Mus musculus: one gene and its partners. The protein of the gene in region 1 binds, or shares a complex with, the protein of each later gene. Links are inferred from orthologs where the notes say so. Each region holds a gene or a part of one and is shown in the gene's direction. Other genes may lie near its edges.

What was found.
Region 2: Strip1 (region 1) and Stk26 share a complex: the UniProt entries of both Homo sapiens proteins name them as parts of the core of STRIPAK complex. The link is inferred for Mus musculus from reciprocal best matches to the Homo sapiens genes STRIP1 and STK26.
Region 3: Strip1 (region 1) and Stk25 share a complex: the UniProt entries of both Homo sapiens proteins name them as parts of the core of STRIPAK complex. The link is inferred for Mus musculus from reciprocal best matches to the Homo sapiens genes STRIP1 and STK25.

Annotation. Positions count from the first base shown.
Region 1 is NC_000069.6:107,628,583-107,633,291, reverse strand, and holds the start of Strip1 (striatin-interacting protein 1), read left to right. Parts: upstream 1-1,581; 5' UTR 1,582-1,611; coding exon 1,612-1,791; intron 1,792-4,709. UniProt on the Homo sapiens protein: Plays a role in the regulation of cell morphology and cytoskeletal organization. Required in the cortical actin filament dynamics and cell shape. Part of the striatin-interacting phosphatase and kinase (STRIPAK) complexes.
Region 2 is NC_000086.7:50,839,973-50,844,170, forward strand, and holds the start of Stk26 (serine/threonine-protein kinase 26), read left to right. Parts: upstream 1-1,398; 5' UTR 1,399-1,574; intron 1,575-1,706; 5' UTR 1,707-1,821; coding exon 1,822-1,863; intron 1,864-4,198. UniProt on the Homo sapiens protein: Serine/threonine-protein kinase that acts as a mediator of cell growth. Modulates apoptosis. In association with STK24 negatively regulates Golgi reorientation in polarized cell migration upon RHO activation.
Region 3 is NC_000067.6:93,632,928-93,637,083, reverse strand, and holds the start of Stk25 (serine/threonine-protein kinase 25), read left to right. Parts: upstream 1-1,356; 5' UTR 1,357-1,537; intron 1,538-1,700; 5' UTR 1,701-1,756; coding exon 1,757-1,786; intron 1,787-4,156. UniProt on the Homo sapiens protein: Oxidant stress-activated serine/threonine kinase that may play a role in the response to environmental stress.

The DNA of each region.
Region 1 (4,709 bases):
GTGTTTACTGATCCCAAATCTGTCTTTGGGGAAACTTACTTTAGATTTAAATAGAATTAGAATTGAGATTGAGGGCGGGAGATAGGAAAATTCCAGCAGACCTGGGCAAGTGTGGTCTGGTTATCATCCTCTCAGTGTTGGTTCTATGAGATGGTAGAAGTCCTTTTTACTTAAGGGACAAGCTGGTTCTCAGGAGTTGATTCTTTCTCCTCCAGGGTGCACAGGCCATGATAGAAAGAGCTGTTCGTCATCCGGGGATGCTGTGTTCTGTGAGGCTTTGCCACTCCTGATGTCTAGAGGGTTGAGGCCAGTGACCAAGAGTCTTGTACCTGCTTCTTGGGGAGGGAGGTTTCTGGAGGAGGACACTGTAAAAAGTAACATTAAAACCATCTTGGTTACTCCTATGTGTTTGGCACTCAGACGTGACGGAGAATGAGGTGAGAGGCCACCATTTTTGGATGATTGCTCTTTGAGTCAATACAGATGTGAGCAGGTAATTCAGAGTAAACGAGACAGCTACAAAATGAAGGCAGAAAAGCAAGAGCCACTTCTAAGGGATTATTAAACACACCCTCATTTCCCCATGATTTCTCTGTTATATTTTCAATTTCAGTTTTATTTATTCATTTGTTTATCTCCCCCATGTGAATGTAAACTCCACGAAGACTAGAATCCTATTTTTGTTCATTATTATATCCTTAAAAGTATTTGTCAGTGGCTTGAGGACAGATACAACTTCATACTGTTATCCTTAGCCCCCAAGAGTCTCTCTCTCTCTCTCTCTCTCTCTCTCTCTCTCTCTCTCTCTCTCTCTCTCTCTCTCTTTCTCTGTCTCTCTCTCTCTCTGTCTCTCTTCACTTCAAGTTCAAGACAGGGTTTCTCTGTATAGTCCTGGCTGTCCCGGAACTCACTTTGTAAACCAGGCTGGCCTCGAACTCAGAAATCTGCCTGCCTCTGACTCCCAAGTGCTGGGATTAAAGGCGTGCGCCACCAACGCCCGGCTTTTTCCCCTGTTTTGATAAGTGAGATTATTAACGTGGCTCCAGAGGTGTCTTGGATGGAGTTATAATCTGATAAGTAAAACCAGGAGTCCCCAGGGTTGCACAAGGTGTTTCTTACAGAGTCCTACTGACTTGGAGGTTTTTCAGCTGGAAGGTTAGAGAAAAGCCACAACCAGTTGTTAATTGTACAGAAATTCTTTGCTAGGAAAACGTGTCAACTAGACCCATGAGTCAGGAATTGCTTTCTTTAATGATGTCTCCCTAATTTCCCCTTTCATCCTGCCTCACCTTGAACAGGGAGGGCTCTAAAGACAGGCAAAGCGATGATAGACAACGAATTAAAGTGTTAAGTCTCATGGATAAAAAAGACATCTAAAGGGATTCCTGCGAGCCCAGCCGCACGTCTCCGGCTTAGTTCCACGGGAAGGAGGGAGGGGAAACTAAATGACAAAGCCAGGAAAGACCTTGGGAGGTGATTGGCAGTTGCGGCTTTCGACACACGCAGCCACACTGAATATGGCGATTGGGGAAATTTCCTGGAGGAAATCACGCGAGAGTTGCCTGACGGGAGGCCGTCCGCGAATTGAGCCGGGGGTGTGGAGCAGCCAAGATGGAGCCGGCAGCCGCCGGTCCCGGCCCTCTGATTGTGAACAACAAGCAGCCGCAGCCGCCACCTCCTCCGCCGCCTGCCACCGCGCAGCCTCCTCCTGGGGCGCCGAGGGCCGCCGGAGGCCTCCTGCCGGGGGGCAAAGCCCGCGAGTTCAACCGCAACCAGCGCAAAGACTCGGAGGTCAGAGCTGCAGGGGGGCGAGGCTGGCACCGGGCGGGTGACAGAGGGGGTCCCGGGAGACCGGGGCGGCATCCGGGCCCAGCCGGGCTTCCCGACGGCTTGACAGGGACCCTGGGAGCTGTCACTTTACCGGGAACCGTGCAGTTAGCTAGGCTGGCAGCCGCCACAGCCCCGGGGAGGAAAGCCCGGAGCCCTGTCACCAACTCTGCTGCGGCCGGGGGAAGAAGGTCCCCGAGCCGGGGATGGCCGGTCGCCCCCGGGGGCGTGGCCTGAGGCACAGCCCTCCTGGGGTGCAAAATCGGTGGTCTGCTGGCTGGTTAGCCCCTCATCCTTTCCGGCCTCTGATCTTAGCAGGGTGGTGGGCCACGCCAGTTGGCAGCGAAGGGACCCAGGAGAGTTTAGCGGGCGCTTAGAACAGGGCTTCTCTCTCTAGTGCTGCTTGGCCGGCCCCAGGTTGTGTGAGTAGCAGAGAGAGCACATTGTGGCTTCCCTCCGAATTTTAGTCAGCGCTGGATCAAACCGCGGCCAGACATTGCCAAGTATTTTTGCATGCCCAGTGAGCCCAGTTGCTGAGCTGTGAAGGGATCAGAAGTACACAAAGGGCGCCGGATTCTCCTCCTTGCTAGTGAGCTGCGATTCCCTTTGCCCGCGCTGTCTGGAGCTATTCACCTCGCCCCAAGTTAAAATTCCTCCCACTGCTTCCGTTTGCAGAATTCATGAATGAACACACACCCGTCTCGTCGCAGCATTTCAGGGCTTCCTCATCAGCACATTCATTCCCAGAGCGCTTACTACGCAATCTCCTCCACCTGAGACAACTTCCAGTGTGATGAACAGCCAGGCACTTACCGAGAGGGAATTCCTCAAATTCAAATTTGATGCTTCAGCTAGTACCAGATACTAAAGATAGTGTCTTTAAGCCTAAGAAATCAGTTCCCTCCAAACATTTTGTTGTTGTCGCAGGCTCAAATTCTGATAACTTATGTCACAAAGGAACAAGCCCAGAGTTGAGAGGATGAGTTTAGAGTGGCTTTTTTGAAAAAGATGGACCTTTTAGGAGCCTTTTGTTGTGGAATGATGGGTGATCAGTGGCTACTTCTCAGTGATCTCTTAAGTACGAAGGAGTATGGAAGTTAAGTTTGTAAGACCTTTAATGACCAGACTTGTCCAGGTTTTCTGAAGAGAACCCTGAGAATTGAACTACACCTTCAAATTTCTCTTTTTAAATGTTTGAGTGGACTGGAGAGATGGTTCAGTGGTTAAGAGAACTTGCTGTTCTCTCAGAGGATCCCAGCACCCAAGTTGGGCCGCTCACAACTGCCTATTAGCACACTAGCTCCTAGGGATCCAGTACTGTCCTTTTGTCCTCCATGGGCACATGTATACACACACAGATAAACACATAATACATTTAAAATAAGTGCTTTAGGGATGGCGGGATAGCTCAGCAGGTAAAGTAGTTTTAAATTTTCCTGAAAAGCCACAAAATAGTCAGATAAATACCCTTTTGTGCATTTTATTTTATTTGTTGTTTGTTTGCTTCTTTGTTTTTTGTTTTGTTTTTGTTTTTGAGACAGGGTTTCTCTGTGTAGCTTTAGCTGTCCTAGAACTCTGCTCTGCAGATGGGGCTGGCCTCAAACTCAACAGAGATTCATCTGCCTCTTGAGTGCTAGGATTAAAGGTGTGCACCACCCCTTATTCGTGTTATTATGTGGTGCTGAGAATCAGATTCAGGGCCTTGTGCAAGGTAGGCAAACACTATACTGCTGAGGTATGTCCTCAGCCTCTATTACATGTTTTTATTTCTCTTCCTACCTTTAATTTCACTGGATTCAACATCTGGAAGGCCCATCACATCGATCTGTGTCCTTGTGTTGGAGGTGCTGATGCTGCACACCCTTCTGGTGACAGCTGAAGTCAGTAGTTTGGGGATCTGATCAGTGCCTAGAGCACAAGGAGGCTCAGTATGTGCCAGGTAAACTTTATTAGTCCTCAAAACTAGCCAAGGCAGTCGAGCATGCTTCCAGTCACAACACTCCGGAAGCTGAGCAAGGAGAATCAGAGTTCAAGGCCAGCCTGGGCTGCATAGTAAAACCTTGTCTCTATAAAAATACACTGGGGGGGGGGGGCTAAGAAATGGTAATGGATTTGGGGGTGAATAAGACCACAATATATTATATAATGGGAATGAAACTGTCAAAAAAAAAAAAAAGGTCTTAAGCTAAGTTTGAAGCAGAGTTTTGTCATTCCCATTGGGTAAATGAAACTCAACCTCAGTAATGTATACAAATGTTGATTTTAGTTGTGTTTTAATGGGACTGGGACTTGAACCCAGGACTCTACACATGGTAGGTAATCATTTTACCACTAAACTCTGTCTCTAGCCTAGAAGCTCAGTAGTGTATGGAAGTGTCCATTAGTGCCCATTAATAAGGAATAGAGTTATGGCTTGTGGGCATATTATGTCATGTCAGGGGTCATTATCAGTTAGAAGGTTTTCCCTGACCCCACTCTCCATCTCACTCACCCACCCAGCTGCATGCTGAGAATTAAGCCCAGGATCTAGCACCTACTAGGAAGGTGCTCTGTGCTGAACTGTACCCTCTGGTCTTGCAAGTACATTAGTCAGGGCTGGGCTTAGCCTTTTGATCTTGATGCTTCTCTCTTCCCAGTACAAGGCTTCCAAGATGGCGTGTTCTCAGGAATCACCTATCCCTAACAGATTCTCATTGCACTCTCTCCTGTGTGTGGGAGGCAGGCCAATCTGTTCCATTTCTGCTTTCTCTCTCAGTTCTCACTGAAAATTGAGATGGGGCAGGGTGGCTGAGGGTTTCAGTGCTCATTTTATCCTTAGCTGTATATAGTCCACAGCTCAGAAAGAAGTGAGACTCCCAGATATTCAGTACTATATGGAGTGG
Region 2 (4,198 bases), on another chromosome or scaffold:
GTGGACATTACAGGTAGGTGGCACTGAACGTTTCTGGGTAGGCTATTGTAGAGAATGACTTGAGCTGGTGAGAAATAGACATTAGATCAGGGCCTACCATTGGGTAGAATAGAGAGAACGCCAAGGCTTGGAGCACTAAGAGTAAGGTAAAATCAATACCATATTTAATATACTTCTACCATATTAATAGAAGGTAGTATGTGGCAGGGGGGCCCAGATTGGACTTCTCAGATGTATTGCTTTTTAATTGCAATATTTGAGTCAAATATTTACTTGGCTGAGCCTTTTGATCTATTTGCTCAGTGGGGAGAAGGCAGTGTGACTCAAGTGAGCGCTTGTCACAATAACTCTTTACAATATACAGAGGGTAAATTTCGGGATCTCTGGGGCAATGAAAACGAAATCTACTACTACTACTAATGTTGATAATAACCAGATACTGTTCTTGGAGAAAAAAATTATTTAAAAAAGAATAGCATTTGTTGAGTGTGCATTGGTTGCACGGGCATCTGGCAAACTTCAAGGTGAGTTCTCATTTTACACATTTACTTGGATCTTATTTTGTCCTGTAACCTTTAGTAGCCCGGGTGTTCACATAGGTGCTTCCCTGAGACTCCTGTGACTGCTATTATTATCACTGTCATTATTGTGTTATTGGGTCCTCCAGAAAGGGTCTGCCTCACTCCTGGAGTTGAACTTAAATTAGAAGAAGGCAGAGAGTTGCAGAAGTCACTGTGCTGCATGCTAAATTCAAATATCTATACTCGGAAAGATGTAATCTCATGCTCCTTGCCTCTGTTATCGTTGTTAAGTTTTCTGCCAATACATGATCCGTTTTCCAATTTGCCTCTCTTTTACACGCGCAGAAATTGTGAGCAATTTCAGCCAGGCCGTTCCTCAACTAATAGCCTAAGGTAAGGACAGACTCAGGTTAAAGTGACTTGAGGCATATCTAAGGGCAAGGAAGCTGAAAATTGCAAGAGGGAAGGAACTTAGGCGTGAAGGAGCAGGTGTCTGGCTCGGTGGCCCCACCCTTGGCCAGGTGGGGGAGCCAAGCAAAACTTTTGCAACTCCAGACCTCTGGGAGGCTACAAGCACCCCAGCCTCGCAAGCCTGTCTGCAACGTGGCCGCATTCATCCGGGTTGCCCTCATCTCCCCTACCCCACTCCCGCAAACTCTTCTGTTCTTTCTCCAGGCTCGGTTATGTTCCAAGTTTTTCGATCCCGATCCCGCCTTTCTGCTGCTCTCCGCAACCCCTGAGAGCCCCGAGCGTCTCCAACTCTGGCTATGTTAGCCAACCCCCTTTGCAGCCTGAAGCCTCAGCTCCCCTGACACCGCCCGGCAGCGGGGTGGAGGCAGGGCCAACCGGGGAACCGCCCCCAGCCGCCTCCCAGCCTAAGCGTTCGGGCGGGTTGCTGGGGTGCCTCCACCTCCTCTTCCTAAAGCGGCGAGGCGCAGCAAAGCGGCATCACTGGAGCCCAGGTCCCAGGCACCGCCACAGGTCAAGCCCTGCATTCAGGAAAGAGAGCAACACTGCAGTTAGCCAAAAGCCAGGCAGGCGAGCGGCAGAGAGGTAGGTAAACTGAGTCCGGGAGAGCAGCGGCGCGAACCGCTCACCTCCCCGCAGGGGGGGGGGGGGCGGAATGGGGGGAGTGGAGGCTGCAAGCCACCAGCCCACTAACTCCACTTCTCTGCGTCCTTCCAGGCCTCGATCGAGAAGCCTGGTAGAGCTGCAGAGATACCTCCGTAGGAGGAGCCAGTCTCTGCCGGAGGCGCCACCGCCACCACCGCAGAAGCAGCGCGAAGTAGCAGTCGCCACCATGGCCCACTCACCGGTGGCTGTTCAAGTGCCTGGGATGCAGGTGAGGAAGCCCAGGCCTCCCGTGCCGCCCACGTGACTGCTCCGAAGCCCCGCTTTGGGCACCAGGCACCAGGGACCAGGGCAGCCACGGGGCAAACCTGAAGGCAGGGCCGGATCTCTCACCAGGTGACCCCGAAGTAAAGCTCGAGGTGTTTCCTGGCGTCCGGGCTAGAAGGTGTTTTGCACTGGAGAGATTGAGGCGACTGGGGAGAGACTCAGTTGGTGTTGGTGTGTGTGTGTGTGGGGGGGGGGGGAGTACACGTATAAAAATAGGCCAGAACCTTAGGCACCTGTACTTGTTGGCTTGTTAATCGTGGCACAGTTGAGGATTCAGCGTGGGGGAGTCCCAGAACTTAACCTCGATGAGATAGAGGCGTCCTGGAATGTGTGGGCTAAAACACCCAAGAGGTGCCCCCACACGGTACACACACAGAGGTTGGGGCGGAGCGAGACCAGGAGTGGTGGAGGCATTGAATTTGGTTCTTCCTGTGTGCAAAGACAGAAGAGCAAGATGCCTTCTTTTCCCCTTTGGTGCCACTTAGAAGCAAACTTCTATCACGCTCCCCTACCTAGCTCAGTGGGTAGTGTTCCAAGGACTGCAGGATCCTGTTCTGAGGGCCTAGGTAATGACTCCACATACCTTTCTCCTTGTCTGTCTGCTAAGGTGGTTGGTACACGTACTTAAGCTTTTGTCCAGCGCAAAGGGGGAAAAAAGTGTGGGACCCAACATTTTACTCAAAATCCATACAGTTCTCCTCCCATTATACTATCGTTTCGTTAAAGAAAATTATGTCAACAAATGTTTTACACATCTTGTTGTTTTTTTAACCACTCTTAACTTTTTAAAGCATTTACATTTGGGGTATCCCCCATGGCAACCTAAATAACCCTTTATGAGTTATAAGTCAGAGGCTAAAAACACTGAGACTGGGTTCCTTATGATCTTCTAACTATGCTAAGTCAAACAAACAAATTATTTCAAGTTCTGAAATGTGGAGACCACTGCATAGCTTACGCTTCTACTAGGAGTCCAAACTTTGTGAATTGGAGTCTCTGTCTACTGCCGCATGTGCTGACTGGTCTCATTGTATTTATGATAAAAATAAAAAGGTGCTTTTAAAAATATCCTTTCTCCTCAAAGGGGTCATTTGTACAGGACATACATGTCTCCTGTATTTAAGGGCAGGTCTGGGTTGAGACTCAGGAAGGGGAGGGAAAGAAATGTAAAATAGAAAGAGTGGGGCTTTTTGTGGTATTAATCCATTTCAGTTTTTCCCAGTGCCCCAAACTTTTTTTTCCTCATGCATTCTCCATCTCTGGCTCTCTTTTCCCTAACTGCTCTGCCCCACACGCCATTCATTGAAGTCTGACTTTGCTTGTATCTGGACAAGTAGTAGTTTGCAATAGGAACTGGTTTTGCTCTGCCTGGTTTGGAACGACACGTGAACTTTCCCCCTTCGTGCACAGCTTTCTATTATGTGGAGACATAGAACTTTACATATGGCTACTGCTCAGAGGCTCCATGCTTCTCTCTCCATTGTGAGCAGGCGCCTGCCTGCATGCGGCCACACTGGTGCCTCCCCTTCATCAACTTTGTGTGATTCTGGGCTACTCAGTGTGATCACCAGAAAAGGGTTCCTGGTCTTTATTTCATTTGGCTTGACTTTATTTGATTTATGTGGTTTCTGGTCTTTATTTAATTTGTTCTGACTTTATTGGATAGAGATGGTTTGCTAAGTGCTCACCGTTGAGCATTGTCACATTGCTCCTTGCTTTGTTTAATTATGGGAGCTAGCTATCTCTTGGATTTTTAGATCTTAATTAAGGTGGGTTGAAATGGGAATCACATATTTGAAATGATCAACTTTGCCTTGCATGGTGTGCCTTCCCCAAGTTATTAATTTGTCAGTCCTTAGCTGTACAGGATAGTCATCTCACATTCAGCAAGCAAAGATTATTGATTCTTGCTCCGCCACTTTCCATCTAAGTGAAGTAGCACGTTATCCAATTATTTTCATTTTTATTTCTAGATGTAGTTCTTAAGCACTTGCTGCAACATTTAAAGAAGACAGCTTTTCCATCTTTGAAATTATACAGGGACCTAAAACACATTCACAGCATGCAGCATGACCCTTTAGCCTAGAATAGTTTTGTTGTATTTCCCAAAAACTATAATGTAGAAATATATTCTGGGATCATAATGGTCTCCTATAGTTTTGTTAGAGTTAGAAGCAAGCAACTTTTAGGTTGTTTAAGTAGCAAGAAATCTTGAATTTGCCATGTGTTCTTTAAATTAATGTGCAATATTTCCCCAAATCAGGGTGGAGTGATTGACT
Region 3 (4,156 bases), on another chromosome or scaffold:
ACATAGAGAGTTTTAAGCCAGCCTAGGCTACAGAATGAGGTCCTGTCTTAAAAATCAAAAATAAAGGCCTACAGAGATTCCTCAATCATTAAGAATTCTTGTTGCTCTTCCAGAGGACCAGAATTTAGTTCTAGCACCCATGCCATTCAGCATATGACCCTCTGCAACTCCAGATCCAGGCCTTTTCAGATCTCAGTAGGTTCCTGTTCACATTTAACATACACATATATGTACATAAATAAGTCTTAATAGAGTTGGCCTTGCCTAATTTCAGACTTTTCTATAGGAGGGATAGGTAGGCTGAAGGCCATCCTACAGATGATCTTTTTCAGGGGCAATAAAAATATTTGCCCCTATTGTTGATGCCTTGGGGCGGGGGAGGGGAGGAAACCAAGGTGCTTCAGGATCCAGGGCAGGGCTGTTTGCTGGAAGTCTATTTTCTTCTGGGGAAAAACACAGCAAAGAAAACCTAATCAACATGTAGTAAAATTTGGCGGTTAAAGAATCTGATGCAAGGTCTTGCATGCAAGGTTTAAGGTTCCAGGATGGTGCCCAGGAAGAAAATCCACCAGAGAACAGAAACAACAAGCCTTTATGAGTTGGGGAGTAGGGACATTATGGTGGTTTGCACTGAGCCGTCATAGGAATGGACACAGTATGGAGCCAAATCTCCCTCCCGTGGAACACTAGGAGACTGCATAGAAGTGGACATTGCTGACTAGTCACTCATACTGAATTCACAGGATGAAAGGCATCTTCCAACCTTTGGAAATCCCCGCTGGACCACACAACTCTTCCCAGCGCCAGGTCATGTCCTGGGGACCTACGATTAAACCTTTTCAGATAGGGAAACTGAGGCAGGAGAGAAGCACTTGTCCAACAATGGGCGACTTTTCTAAGGGCGCGCGTGGGCGTACTCCTTGTGTGTGTGTGTTGCTAAGCGCAGACAAGAAGGTCACACTGCGGTTAAAGCTGGAGCACCAGGATATGAGGGTAATGTGGGTTCGCACTCCAGGCACACAGTATGGGTCTCAGAAGCTTGGCAAACAGAACTGGGAAAATGAGAGGAGGGCTGAAAAAAAAAGAGAAAAAAAAGCCTAGAAAACGTCAAGGCAACTGCGCACGCGCTGCACCCGTCACCGCGCGGCCTGACAGGAGGGGCAGCCCAGCTCGGGCATATCTCAAGGTTCGGATCCAATCTGTGGCGCATTTGTGCCTCTCCACTGACCGCCCACCGCAAGTTCTCCTGGGACTTGTAGTCTGTCGCCATCAGGGCCCCGGAGCACTTGCGTAACACCTCATCCTACCGCGCAGCCTGCTGGGACTTGTAGTCTCAATTTTGCGTGCCCGGGGTACGGGGCGGGCTGCGGGACTCCTAGTCCCACAGAGCTTCGCGCTCGCCACGACGCCCTGCTCAGAGCCGCTGCCTCCACCTCACGGGCTGGGAGGCCTGGGCGTTCCGGGAGACCGAATTGCGGTGTGAGCCGCCGTGGGGACTGCGAAGCGGGCCCGGAGTCCGAGATGGAGCCGCCCGGAGGTGGGCGCTGCCAGCGGGCCTCGCCTGAATGTTGGGGAGGCCGGGCACGCCCTGAGGGCGGGTCGGGGGCCCTGGGCGCGGGACCGGAGGTCGCGGGTGGAGGGACGCCACGGAACGGGTCCCCCTGGCCACTGTTGACCGAGCGGCCTGCGGTTTCTCGCAGGTGCTTGAGGCGAGCGGGCGGAGCGGCTGCGACGGACTGGTCACGTCAGCGGGGACATGGCTCACCTCCGGGGCTTCGCGCACCAGGTGAGTGTGGGCGTCGGCGTGCCCCGAGTCCGTGGTTCGCTGTGGAGCGGATTTGTCCACTTGAGGCGGGAGAGGGGCGGAGGCCGTCTGCCTCGGGGCGCGTCTTGGGGCCGTTGGAACTCTGGCCTGTGCCGAGCCAGCGCCTGCGGAAGACGTGAGCCCCAGGGAACGTCTGCGGGGCGAGCGCTTCTGCTCGGGAGCTGCTGGGGGCAGGTGCAGGAACCTGCCCTGGGCACAACCTGCTTGACCCAGGCTCGGAGCACCTTCCCAGAAGATGGACTCCACCTTCCTTGGCTAACGGGATGGAACCCCGACACGGGACCGCACAGGAGATGAGGGCTGCGTAGGGTCAGAGGGTTCGGTGGTTTGCTCTCTGGACCCCCTTTCTCGCCTTTATTTTATTTGTGGTGTTGTTATTTCAGAGCAATATGACAGACAGCTAGTGAAGTGGAATGAGCTGCCTTGGCGGCTGATTTTCCTCTGGCTTTAGCTGTGGGATTTGCGTTTTAAGGGCTTGGTTTAGATAGGCTTAGGCTTGACAGTTGCACAGTGAAGGAATCAGTTCCTGAGGACAGTGCAGCCGCTCACCCCACCCCACCCTGACCCCCCTTCTCCCTGCATCCTTGAGAACTGGTTGTGTAGACAGGAAGCATGTCCGTCCGCTGCTTGTGGGCAGGAATTGGAGGCAGGGCTCCTTGGAGGAAACCAAACCAGCCTGGAAGACTACTCACAGCTGTTGGGGAGGGCTTTTGGCCCAGCTGTCACAGATGGGATCCCGAGCTTGCTAACTGATGCTGAATTAAGCTAACACATTTTTAATACATTTTGACATTTCGCCTCTAATTATATAACATACTAAGAGAGAGAGAAAAAAAATCTGCCTCTAGTTTATTTTTAAGAGACTTAAGCTTAGCTTATGAAGGTCCCAGGATGACAAATTGGAGCTATGAATTGCGAAGGAGTACAGTAATGATGGCTAGGGGACCTTTCTCAAAGAGAAAACACCCTTTTTGTCTTTTTAGGGGCCTGTGTCCAGCCTAGACATACTTGGCTTCTGAAAGTGACACAAAACCTTTGTAGGGCTGCTTTCTCCCAAGATGGCTGCCATAGAGTCCTATGAAATTGCTCCTTTTGTGTGATAAGGCTTGTACTTTCCCCCTGTAGCCTGTGCTTCTGCCTTAGATTACCTTTTACCCGGCCTGTTCCTGCCCATCTCTGGAAGGACCAGATGGTTCTGGGCAAGCACTGTGTGACTGTGTGTGGTAGATGAGGGAGGATGTGTGCTGAGTTGTTCCTCTTGTTTTGGAGAGGTGATACACAGCAGGCATGTTGGCAGAAAGGCCAGAGGCTGTAAGTATAATATCCCTAGGATGGAATGGAGAGCGAATGGGTCTCAGTTGTTCAGAGTAAGTTAGATGGCTTGAGTGATGGTTCATAACACATTCTGTCCAGAAGAGAAATCTGAGCCACCCAGATCAGCATGCTAGCTGTCTGTGATTGGCTGGGTTTGGGACTAGGGCTGCTTCAAAGGTGTAAATACAGAGACCATGCCAGAAAGGCTCCTATCATACTGTTTCTTAGGCTGACTGGTTCACAGCTATAGGTACCCAAAAAACGTAGACTTTGAAGACTAGGGTTCCCACCTTCCTTGCACAAAGTCTAGAACTCTGGCTTTGGGATCTGTTATTTTCTTTTCCTCTGAGGCAGTGTGAGTGAATACCTGGCCTGAAGTATCCTTCTTCGGCTACTGTAGTGGACAAGTTCTGATTCTAGGTTCCCCCAGAAGAGAGCAATTAAGAATTCTCAGTATGGCTGAGCAGTGTGGGAGGATGTGGTGTCTGAGCCTGAGTAGTAGGAAAAGGGCTACTGAGAACTGGAAGGATAGTGGTCCTGGGTCATGTAGTTAGCCGATGGCTTGACTTCTCTCTAACAGGCTTTCTTAGGCTACAAGCACTGGACTGAACCAGTGATAAGACTGTATTGCCTTGAGTCCTCAACTAGACCTTCTGGAGATCTTTGAGATGGTTTTCAAGGTGTCTCAAAACTACACATGGTGGAGCTGTAGCATCTGAGGAGACAGTAGAGGCCAAGTGGTTAGAGAAAGAAGGGTTTGAAAAAGTGTTTTGGGGCCTGCTGGAGCAGAAACAGGCAGAAAAACAAAACAGAACAATAACAACAACAACAAAACAGGCAGGAAAAGGTCTGCTATGTGGCCCTTGCTCTGCACCTGGCTTTCAGGGCTGGCTTTGAGCAGGGGATCAAGTGGTCACTGCCCAGACATGAAGTGACAGAGGCTGAGGTCTTTTCACACTGATCACGTCTACCTTTATCGGTGGTCTCCACACTGATGAGTGTGGTTAGAGCACATGG